2 linked regions of the Caenorhabditis elegans genome follow. The protein of the gene in region 2 interacts with the protein of the main gene of each other region in a pairwise test. Each region holds a gene or a part of one and is shown on either strand. Other genes may lie near its edges.

The links. Proteins that work in one complex are often made in the same cells at the same time.
Region 1: the proteins of lrp-1 (region 2) and dab-1 interact in a two-hybrid assay, tested with the Caenorhabditis elegans proteins (one study listed by BioGRID).

What each region holds. Positions count from the first base shown.
Region 1 is NC_003280.10:8,220,408-8,228,406, reverse strand, and holds the start of dab-1 (PID domain-containing protein), read right to left. Parts: upstream 6,020-7,999; 5' UTR 5,932-6,019; intron 2,092-5,931; 5' UTR 2,078-2,091; coding exon 1,969-2,077; intron 1,688-1,968; exon of another isoform or gene 1,567-1,687; coding exon of another isoform or gene 1,506-1,566; intron 1,460-1,505; coding exon 1,404-1,459; intron 1,351-1,403; coding exon 931-1,350; intron 855-930; coding exon 214-854; intron 169-213; coding exon 21-168; intron 1-20. Other genes in the region: ifg-1 (MIF4G domain-containing protein), read right to left, coding at 7,165-7,326, 7,398-7,623, 7,670-7,999.
Region 2 is NC_003279.8:7,612,545-7,617,189, forward strand, and holds the start of lrp-1 (Low-density lipoprotein receptor-related protein), read left to right. Parts: upstream 1-1,631; 5' UTR 1,632-1,726; coding exon 1,727-1,817; intron 1,818-3,484; coding exon 3,485-3,655; intron 3,656-3,791; coding exon 3,792-3,923; intron 3,924-3,991; coding exon 3,992-4,113; intron 4,114-4,168; coding exon 4,169-4,307; intron 4,308-4,356; coding exon 4,357-4,593; intron 4,594-4,645.

The sequences.
Region 1 (7,999 bases), on a different chromosome or scaffold from region 2:
TAAAATAGATTAAATTGTACCTTTGGTGGGTTTAAGATATGCTCAAATGGATTCTTTTTTGTCTCCTTGATACCCTGTCCACCAACCAATGCGTCCATATCAACCAATTTCGTGAAAGCTTCTTCAAGCGACGTCACCTTCTTTTCACTCCAGGTTTCGGCCCTGAATCTTGTTTTTGATTATTATTAATTTAGGTTTTAGAATATCACTCACTTATTATCTCCAAAGTTGGCAAAAGTGCTGGCGTGATGCAATGATGACTGCTGTTGTTGGATATTAGTAGATGGTGCCATATTCTCTTTCGTAGTCCCAGTTCCAGTCCAATCAATATTTGAATTTGGAATAGCAGAGGAATGTACAGAGAATGGATCACGGTATTGTGTTGGAGCAACAGTTGGAAGTGGTGGTGGCGGAGCTTGAGTATTGAAAGCCGACGCAAATGGATTAGTATCCGAGAATCCGTTTGTTCCGAAAGCAGGTGTACTATGAGCATGGTGCATTTGTTGCTGCTGTTGTTGTTGTCCCCAAGCGTCAAATGATCCAGCTCCGGATGTTGGCCAATTCTGATGAGATTGTTGAGGAATTTGAACCATTGGCATCTGCATTTGTTGAACTTGTGGAAGTTGAAGTCCTCCAAATGGCACTTGAGTTCCAGACATATTTGCAGTTCCATTTGACGTGGCTGTACTGTTGAAGCTGTCTACGAAAGGATCTCCAAATGGTGATGCTCCGAAGGCATCACAGTTTGTCGGGACAGTTGAAAGTTGTTGAACTCCTCGTTCAATTTGCTGAAGTTCGGATTCCAAGTCGAGAAGATCAGCGACGGCGACTCCACCTTCCTTCTTGCTCTGGAACTTTTATAAAGTCATAACAATGGACTTTTATAATTTAAAAATGCATTGGATCTTTGGAATTATTCTAAAAACTCACACTAATTTCAGCTCCACCATCTTGAATCTGTTGTTGCTTAACTTGCTCAATCTGTTTTTTCTTCATTTCAAAAACAACTTGGAACATGTCTCTGATAGCAAGAACTGCTTGATCAGCTGCCTGTGCTGTTTTGATTCCATAGAACTTGTACTTGCCTCCAGGTTCACCGTAAACAAGTCCAAAAGCTCGAGCATCAGAAGAATCACGAGCGATGAAAGAGATTCTTGATACTGGGAAATTATGAAGAACAGCGCCGCTCTTTTCATCAAGAACTTTGATTCCATCAATGTTGATTTGAAGAGTAATACGTGTTTTGTGAGCTCCAGCAGCCTTGATAATACTCTTGGCAGTTCGCATTGCTTCAGCACACATTGCATCTCCTCGAGCCTTGTCCACATCTTGTTCTCCGATCAGCTTTCCCTGAAATAACAATTTTACAAAAACTACTACATGAATCATTAAAAAAAACTCACCTTGTAGGAAATTCCATTGTTTTGAAAGCGAAACGGATCCGATGATGCATTTGATGCTAAAAAGTTTAAATTTTAGATTGATAATTATAGAGTAAATCATACCCCGCGCCTTTTTCTGCTTGAATGATTTGGAAAACGAACGCCCTAATTGCGTCTTTTTCATGATAATTAGGTATTCACTTAAAATGAAATTTGCAAAATCTATTAATGAGTTTAAAAGTATACAAACACTCGTTAGAAATCGATATAGAAATCACATAGAGCGGGCGCTAGAGAGCGTAAAGAGATAAGAAAACGAAGTGAGACGCAGAGAAGAAAGGAGCAAACTTTCTGCTTGGCAGATCATTGTCACAAGTTTTTGGGGGAAAAGAAAGAGTGAACCAATAAACTTTGAACTCTTTCCTGAAAATGTTATAGATAACAAAAAGATAACATTATCTATCTGTTGAAAATTGGCAAAAAGGCTATCTTCTCGTTAAATTATCAAATTGATATCTCTACATTCACAATTGGATACTCTCAAAAATTGAGAAATCATTTTTTCGGAACTCAGCTATGTTCTCACCTTTCTTGGTTCTCTTCAGCATTGCAAGTCGGGACTTTGGTGATGGTGGATTTGGTTTTCCAGATGTTGCATTTGCCGTTTCCACTGATATATCCGACTTTTGAGCCATTGTTTCGAGAGAACCTTTAGAAATAAGATTTATTACAACGAAAAAAAAATAGAATTTAAAAATTACAGTAAAAGAAAACTAAGAGTATAACAAAGCTTTTTGGAACGAAAGTGAGACCAAAAAGAATTGTGAGGTGGTGGTGGGGGATAGAGTGTGAAAGGAGGGTGAAATCATGATCAGCCCCCTTGGGGGCACATGATCGACCGGTTTTCATCTCCATATCGGAATAAAAGAATACAAAAAAATGAAGACGACCGTGAAAAAGTGCAGTAGTCATTTTTCATACTTCAAGGTGACAAGTTGACACTGGATATGTACTTGTTATTACTTTCGAAATGGAAATAAGAAAAAATGTCGGATTCAAATAGCAATACTTTTCAAAAGCACTATGCAATCTTGAAAATAATTCTTAGGTAAATAAAGTTATTTCATACTGACAAATATTTTGAAGACACACCTTTCCAATTTGAGCGACGATATATTCTAATTAATTTATGACATGATTCAGAATAATATTTCAAAAAACGCGAGATCATTACGTAGACGTAATCTAAAGTTGATACGAGTTACAGTAACCCGTTGTCCGCGTGGCGAGACCGAGCGCGTAAGATCTGGCGAAAAATTCTATGAAGCCGAGAAATTGATTTTTTACAAATATTCAATTCAATCTTTTTTATTTTATTACAGTCAACCTTGAACTAAGAAAAATAGACTGTTCTTCATTTATTTTGCGGTCAGGGGACATTCTTTTACATCAGCTGATTACAATCTTGACAGGAATGGGAGTACGTAGTGTGTGATGTAGTTAGTTTCATAAAATCGAGATCAGGACTGTAACTTAATTATTGTAATAGTCAATGCATAATAGAACACTAAATCACAGTAGAAGAAAGAAAACGAAAACAGATTGACATTGTTAGTCATCCAAACCGAAGTGAGTCACTACTGTGTTGACTGGAGAATACGACAACTGTGAGGATCTGAATTATTACGAAATCAAGAGAAATCAGCCATAAAACTATCGGAAATCGTTTGGGCGATCCCAAAACTCTTATGTGTAACAAAAACGACAAAAATAAAGAAGATTTGTTGACCAACAATCAGGTAATGTCGTCAAGTTTTGCAGAGAAACATTTCATGACTAAACCAAATAGGGAAAATCAATACAAATATGGAACAATAGCCAGAACGACGGAAACATGGCCAAAAGGTGTGCGTAGCTTTGCTCAGCAACCAGACGATCAAGTTGCTCTCACACTCTCTTCTTCCGCGCGGAAACTCGCCGGAACACTCCTCCTTTTCCTCCAAAACTCAATGTGTGCTTGACTACTAGATTTACAGGACACACACACCTTCGGGGATGCCGCCAGTCATTTTGCAAACATGACGTAAAAGAAAGACAGCTGCAGTCAGTCTCTTGTGAATTTATCTGCCTCTATCTGATGTCCTTTTACCTCTCTGATCTTGATGATTCCTAGGCTAGGATCCCCCGTTACGTAACATCTTGATTTCACATTTTGCTGCGTTGAATTAATGCGTCACCTGGACAGTGGATGGGAAAATGGGCAAGAAAATCGAAATATTGGAAGAAGATGTTAGACACGAAGGCAAGAAAAATCTTGTTTCTCTTTTATATGGGTTAGTATCGAATTGAAAACTTGGGAAACAGTGAATAGCAACATAATAATTATATCCTAACCAGCGTAATTTACCAAAATATTTCAAAAACTTTCAAATCGATAGGGATAATTTGAAATCGTTTTAGGGTACTGCACATTACGCAAATTTTTTGTTCGGTTCAAAAATAATTAAAATATCATTCTTATTCAGCATTATTATAAGGACAAAAATAAAGGAACAACATTAATGCAGCTAGGTCTATTAATGTCAAATCCGTCGGGAATCGTAATAAGCTTAGCTGTCAGATACGGAAACCTAAGTATTTACACTCATGTCGAGTACTGTAGCATATATTCAAATGAGGCAAACCAAAAACCGGAGAAACGGAAAACAAGCAGGCGTCAAGAATGAGAATGAAAAGAAGCAGAATAACGTTCATCTAACTGAATACTTCGTCAGCACCATCATCATCAACGTCTCCTACATCTACTAATCGGAGAAATCTCAACACACTTGTGATCATGGCCATCATTAGAAAATTACTATTAATATAATGATGTCTTTTTTTTCGTTTTCGCTTCTATTCAAGTCTGATGCGATGATAAAATTCTGTTGATGACGACGACGAAGCGGCGGCGGACGTTTTATGAAAATCAGGTTCTTTTTCGGAGCGGAAATTGAAGGTGACCGTTGAAAACACAAAAAGTAACTTCGAAAAAATGAATTTTATTTCTTTTTGTTGTTGTTATTGAAAACAAAAAATCGAGAAGAGAAACACCCAAAATTCTCAAAAGCATCAAAACAATTATTGGAAAGAGACCGTACTACGAAGGGATTATAATTCCAATATGAACACACAATAAAAGATGCGAAATAAGAAATGTGTTATACTTCTTCAACACACAACAATACCATCTGAAGGACACACTAACCAAATCGATCGAACACGTAAGTAATTGGAGTTGAGGTCAAAATTGCAGCCGAGTCAGTAGTAGTAGGCGGAAAGAAACAATAGTGACTCATCTAAACAAAAGCATGAGTGGGAGGGACGGTGAATAAAGCGAGGGACTTTTCGTGCCGAGACCACGAGGATTGACGAATAACATCTATCGATTCAAGTAATTGAAGCGGAACGAACGCTTTTTGGTGTTGACGGGAGGATTGGGTGGGGACGAACGGCGGGACAGGATAATTACCCGAAACTGCGCAGAAAAAAAAACATGGACAATGGTTTCAAACCAAAATTGTGAAGATCATGGAAACTAAATAATAGAGACAAGAAAACGAAACTTGTGAGTACCAATGGTAGTTCTCTAAAATAGAAAGTAAAATAATGTTTATTTACTACAAAGCATACAGAGAAGATGTAGATTAATTAACTACTACTATACTAAGCTCTATTGAAACGGGAAACCATGTCACTATGCACCATGTCAACAATATGGTTCAGTACGAAGCGTTAATTTTTTTGGAAACAGAATGTATTTATCTCCAAAACTCTTTTAAAACCCGCATCGTTTCGTCTAAAAACTCAGATAAAAAGGTAGAAAATTTCATTACTAGGGATATTGAATGATATTTTATAATTTTATAATTAAGATATTCGAGTTTTCTTAAAAAAGGACGCCTCAGAAACCACTAATTTTATCATGCATAAATAAAACTGACAGGATCAGATCACCAAAAAAGCCGGCTTTCCTTTGCCTCCACTCAAATTGAGACAAATATCGACTGAAGAGGGACCCCTACTAATGCTGCATGCTGGACATGTCTACGTCTCTCATCCTCTTCTACTTTTCTTTTCTTCACGGACATCCTCCGCGTGTGTATGTGAGCGTGCGCGCACACGAGAGGTAGAAAAGGGTTAAAAACACTCTGCATACAGTCACTGTGTCCAGACCAGTTTTTTGTCTTAGACTGAGAGAATAGTTTTGAGGCGAAGACGAGAGAGAGAAGCGAATAAAATTGAAAGAAATCAGTTGCCTATTCTTCTATTCATTGTCGCAAACCTCGACAAGCATCACCATTACTACGCAGATCGAGAATAAAGTTTAAAATTTTATAATGTAAAGAAAAATGACAAAAATTGAAAACCTGTCTCAAGGAAAGATGAATGAAGTTTCTAACGAAAAAAGAATTGAGATTTGCGCGGGTAGATCAAAGGTTACTGTAGCAAATTTTTTCAAAAACTATTTAATTTTATAGGTCTAAATTTTAAATAAATTCAAACAAACCTGCGAAACGGCGAAATTCTCTCGATTACTGTTTATATTATTCCTTCTCATATTAGATTTCATTTACATTCGCCAGTGACACGATTTCCTAAATATTTATTCAAAATCGAGTCAACGTAAAACTGTGAGCATTTGATGAGAAAACAGAGCAAGCTATATAAATGGGGAACAACCCCAACAAGAACTATGATGAAAAAAAAAAAAAACAATTTTGATGCCCATTTTTATTTGTGGTGGAGGTGGTGATGATGATAATAACGGAAGGACAATTAGTTAAAACAGGAAAAACGTAGAATTCAAGGAAGTGGAAAATTTAAGATGGGCTGATGAGAGGATATTAAAATTAACCAATTGTCACAATTTCTAGAAGATCCAGGAATCAGACCGAAGGCACTGACTTACACACAATTAGGAAATTTGGAAAAGAAATGAAGCTAAGAGCTAGTCAAAAGTCTTCGTTTTACGATAAATTCGATGCAATTCAACGAAATTCCAGCACTCCGAAAAAATTCAGCGACTTTTCGACCGTCTCTTAGAAAAGACCCTTTAAGCACGAAAACAAGCATAGCAAGAAATGTTCTCGGGACCAACTGGTATGGAAATATGAAGGGAGAAACCAATAAAAAACCAACAGCTAATTTAGAAACAATAAACAAGGAGACTATGAAAGGGTTATTCAAATAGAAAAACGAATGAAAGAAATGGGAACTGGGAGCAAATAAACGAAACGGGAATCCAAATGAGGATATAAATATTTAATGATTTGGAGGAAAACGTGATATTTTTAGTGATCATCAGAAGAAAAGGGTAAGGTGGGTGGGAAAGGGGCTATAACGAGTTGATTTCTGCGTCTCGAAACGAAAAATGAAGAGAATCTTCACGTTTCGAGACGAGTTGTAGAATGAGCGGAAGTTTGCAGGAAAAATGATCTGAATGTCTGAAAATTGATTTACTTCAGCTAAATCATGATAATCAGTTATTCATTTTGAAACTTTTCTTGCAAACCTCTAACAAAAGAAAAACAAGCAATAATATCGAAAACCATTAATGGGATACCCAATAAGACATAAAATCGGTAGGGATGGACGCGCGGCGAAAAAACGAAAAACTTGACATGTTTAGACCGTATTATCAACAACTCGTTCTTATATAGATAATTAAAATGGGTTTTAGCACACAAAAAAGTTCTCTATAAATCTACTGTGGAGTTTGAAAATCCAAAAATACGATAAATTAGTTGCCCGTCAAATAGCTCGACAACGTTTTTCCATTTTTAAACGTCACTGCTTCCATTTCTGCTGAAAGTCCTTCTTCCATCTCAGTCTTTAACTTCATGTCCGAAAACTCCCACGAGATTCCTTCTGCAGCGCCAGTCACTTCAAGCTCAAGCTCGATCTGAAAAAAATTAAATTAAAAAAATAAACGCAATGTACTGAATCTGAGCACTAAAATTTGCAATAACTCACCAATTGCTTCAAAACTTGAACAAGAAGGTCAAATTTCTTATTTCCTTCTCCTTTGGCAGCTGAGAAAATTGGCTTCATGTCCGCTAATGAGAAAGATTCAACTTCTCCAATTTCGTCATGTGGAGCATGACTTGTGTTCACGAGAACTTCACCAGTAACGGTCCACAATTTGGGATAATCTTGCTGGAGCTCAACATCATTAGCGAATTTGCAGAAACGGGTAGCTCTGAAATAATTTGTAAAGCTCAATAAATCATAAACTCTTGCCTTACCCCTCTATAAAAGCTTGCTTCTCAGTCTTGCTGACCAATGACATCCGCAGAGCAATAGCCAACTTCTTTCGATCATCATCCTTCAAACCTTTTTCGATCACAGCTCGGATAATCATCTCATAGACTACTGTCAATGACGGCGAACCGTATTTTTCTTTTCCAACATAATCGGTGATAGAGTCAACCAATTCCTTTTGGGAGAGCTCACCACTAGACATTTCTAGAAGATCGGATTTAACGGTATTCATAATCTTGGCTCTGACAGCTTTCTCTTCTTCAGTCAGCTCATCGTCGGTCTTGTCAGTATTCGAATTTTGTGATGTGGATCGC
Region 2 (4,645 bases):
TTTGCTTTAAACTACTCCAAAGTCGAAAAAACTCACAATTGGATGGAGCTTGATTCGAGAATTTGGATCCGCAGCGGCAAAAATTCTATAATTATTCTTCCCTTTGCGTCTTGATAATAAATACGGTTTCAGGTTTTTCCAAAGAAAAATAATGCATCAAAATAGCTAGTGTGAAACTTACGCCCCACCGGATCCAAATTCCTGAATGAAGCTCCGCGACTTTTTGTACCAAATTCCAGAAGTGACAGTCGACCTTTAAACGTGCTCTTTATGTTTTTCGATGCTGATTCTTCTAGACTTTATCGAAGACTGAATAAATTAATTACTATAGTTTCATTCCCCACCTGGAAAATAACGGCAGTTTTCATGTTGAGGCTTTCCATGCGCCTTTAAACGACGATTCACCATTTCCCGAGTTAATAATAATCAGAACCTATCAGAGAAAATGTATTTTTTAGTCCCATGGTCCTGATATGGTGCTTTATGTGACGTGGCATTTTCCTTGACTCCGCCTCCTCGTATCAAATTCATTAATCAGTTATATGGGGGGACGGACACAGTCAGCAGGCCTTCCGAACAGGTTGACAAGGGATAGATATGTATGGGGACGGGAGGACTATTTGGTGAGAAGAGGGGACAATTCTCGTGATGATCACCTTATTTTATCTTTTCAATTTTCCCGCCATCGATTGTTCTAGAATCCCAGAGATTTGGCGAATATTTTAGTTTTTCTCCTGAAATTGATCGAACTATAATATGATATCTCTTCTTTCTTGATTTAATTTGTCATGCGTCAAGATTATTATTCAAATCAACAGTTAAACTATTGCTACTTAAAAAATGTTATTTTTTGAAAATGACTTTAAATACCTGAATCTTGAAAACAATGTTTATTAATTCAAACTAGTTCTGCAAAAATTTCAAAATACCATATCACAAGTCTAATAGAAAATCACATGCTATCTCCTAAGTTAGTGATAAATAAAACACTTTTATTGCCAATCTCTTTCTAACCAAATTATTTTAACTGTTTTCATTTTTATTCGTATTTAACTTCGATTCAGTTCTTTTATTATTTTTATACTAATCTTCGATATTTATATCTCAGTTCGTTACTAGAAAAACCTTAAAATTTAGAAAATCAATATGTTATTTCCTCTAATAGTCGTGCATCTCATCACCTAATTTGGACATCCGAATTCTCGGGTTTTACCAAAAAATTGTCAATTCACAAAATATTGATGATTTGTTTACCTTCAATTATTTAGGAAAACAGTTATTAAATGAAGACTAATCGAGAAAATACGGTCAGATAAGAATAGCCAAAATATTATTCAATTTTTTTATCCAACCAAGAGTTGAACCGACCATTGATTTTGAAAATTTGGTAACAGTTTAAGCCAAACAGGCAACTTGGAACTTGTGAGTAAACGAAATACTTTAAGCAGTGTAAGTATGTGAGCTTCAGGCGTACCTTCATGCCTAGCATCTCTCTAATACCTGCTTACCAATTCATATCAATTTTTAAACTTTGATTAATTATGGATCTCCCCATTTGCCAGACTGCCTTCTTGAATATATTTTCCCCTTTGCCTCTAGAATCCACCAACTAAATTGTTTTTAATTTTCAGGCGCAGCCTCATAACTCCCCCGCAATCACATATATTTTATTCACAATCATCCATAATTAATCACCACCATCAAATGCTTCGAGAATAATTAAAAAATGATTCTGAGGTTGCTCATTTTCACAGCGTTGGCTGTAACAACCGCCAATTCAAGTACGCGGCAACAGTCAACGTTTCATTCAATTCAAGGTGAGAAGGTTTTGTATTTAAAATCGATAAAAGTTCTATCAAGTTAAAAACAATTCTGTTTTTTTTTCTGGTTTCAGATAAATTTTTTTATTATTATTTCAAAAATCTGTAATTTTCTTATTGCCAGGGGTAGTACTCCAAATATTTATATTCTATAATTGTAAATTGTAAGTCCGAATTCTCTGCACCATTTTATGATTGAAAATAAAAAAAGTTGCATTCTCTAAATTCTTTTAGATTGTTAAAAACTTTCTATTAAAAAGGTTTCTGTTAAGTGACAATCTTTCTGAAAGATTTGGGCTTTTGTAAAATTGGTTTAAAAAATATTTACCGTTTTCTAAAATTATGAATGGCAGAGACTGAGTATTTGCCATTTTTTGACTGGAAATTAATATTATTTTGAAAAGTTTCAATAATTTCTTGACTGGCGTTCAAATAATTTATTTCCCGTAGTTTTTTTTGTTGAAATTTGGGCCCTGCCTCCAGACATTTCAAACTTGACCTCTCTACATATCACCAAAGATAGAAGCACAAATGTTCACAAAAAAGGTGCATAAAAAACAGGAAAAGCTCAAAAGGTGTTCAAGAGTGACCTATGTGGAGCATTGCTTCGTGAGGTTCGGCGCACTTTTGTCTGCACGAGAAGCATACTCGCGCACCTCATAGCACAAATAATGTCTCTCTCTCTCTCAATTGGAATAGAGAAAAGTCTCAGAGTTAGAACAACAAACCAACAAAAGTGAACAAATATATGATAATATTCGACAAAGGAATATACACTATTAAAAACATTAATTGTTCCAAGAATTTCGAGGTTTTCATGATCTTTTCACATCTTATTTTAAAGATGGAATAGCGCCACTAGGGAAAATATTTAAAAGAATTCACAATGGTTTTTGGCAAATCAGGTCTTTTTCAAAATTTACCAGCAACATTAAAAATTATTTCCAATTCATTCAAATATTTTCCTTTTTTCTACTTTTTGTTTTGTTTCAAACAAAATTTGTCATCATATTTTTCCTCGCCTCCGAAGTTTTCAAGCGGTGTAAATTAAAGTGTGATTAGTATTTGTTTGTTGATGTGGTTACTGAATGATACAAGTTTTTTTGACCATCGTTTTTCAAACAATCATTCCAAAAAAAGTGACAAAAAAGGGAGGAAAACTGGCTTCAACCCCATAGATGACCACTACACCGTGTCAAACATTTGATTTAGTTTTAGACAGCTTTTGGTCTGCCCTTGTGATGTTTAATCTTAAGTTACAATGTCAAAAGGATAGAAAGATCGGATAGTAGGGTTTCCAGTCGTTGTTCCAGGAGTGCGCGGAAATTAAAATTATTTTGCAATTTTTCTTCCTCGTTAAAATAATTTGGAAACTGTAAAGCAAAGATTTTGAAAAATGATTCAGAAAAATCAACAAAAAGTATTTATTTTTTATGTAGAGATTTCGTTCATCTCTTTGAATTTTTAAATGTCAATAGGCTTGGTATATCACAGAACAGTTAAGTACCGTAACTTTTGGAATATTTCAGAGCTTTTTAGAAATCAATGTGATGAACAATATTTTCTGCCAAAAATGTTTAACATTTAAACGAAAACATGCAACCCCAAAAAAATGGAACAATACAAATTGACAGTAGGCTGAAAGCAATCTAAAATTTTTGCAGTTGACTCACCGCCATCAGTTCGTTCTCGAATAATATCTGCATCAGTAAACACAGCTTCATCAGTATGCAACGAGAATGACTTTAGATGTAACGATGGAAAATGTATACGTACCGAATGGAAATGTGATGGATCTGGTGATTGTTCAGATGGCGAGGATGAAAAAGATTGCCGTAAGTTTGAATATAAAAATGTTCCCAAATCTTTTGGTCTGTTTCAAAAATTCATTTCTACGAGACTAATTGCGACAATTTTTTTGCGAAAATAATAAAAGTTGTTAAATTCTCGAACCCACTCCTCAATTTTCAGCACATCCTGGCTGTAAATCTGATCAATGGCAATGTGATACCTACACATGGCACAGTGTCTCATGTATTGCCGAATATCAAAGATGTGATAACATCACTGATTGTGCAGATGGATCAGATGAAAAGGATTGTCGTGAGTTTTTTGCTTTAATGTTCAAATTGAGAAGGCTTATTTATAATAATCTGAATTAAAATTTTCAGCTGCTTCAACTGTGGACTGCAGTTCCCAAAATGTATTTATGTGTGCTGATGGGAGACAATGTTTTGATGTGTCGAAGAAATGTGATGGAAAATATGATTGTAGAGATTTAAGTGATGAAAAGGTAATTTTCAACTTAAATTAGTTATTTTTTTAGTTATTCTTAATTATTTTCTCAGGATTCTTGTTCCCGAAATCACACAGCCTGCTTCCAATATCAATTCCGTTGTGCTGATAAGACTCAATGCATTCAGAAATCATGGGTTTGTGATGGATCGAAAGATTGTGCTGATGGATCTGACGAACCTGACACTTGTGGTACATACCTGAAAATTAGAAGTTTCTTTCTGAAAATATGATATTTCAGAATTCAAAAAGTGTACGGCCAATGAATTCCAATGCAAGAATAAACGTTGTCAACCTCGAAAATTCCGTTGTGATTACTATGATGATTGTGGTGATAACTCGGATGAAGATGAATGTGGAGAATACAGATGTCCACCTGGAAAATGGAATTGTCCTGGTACTGGGCATTGTATTGATCAATTGAAACTTTGTGATGGATCAAAGGATTGTGCTGATGGAGCTGATGAGCAACAGTGTTGTAAGTTTTTCAATTTAAATAAAATGAAGTAGGTAGGCTTGAAGTAGGCACT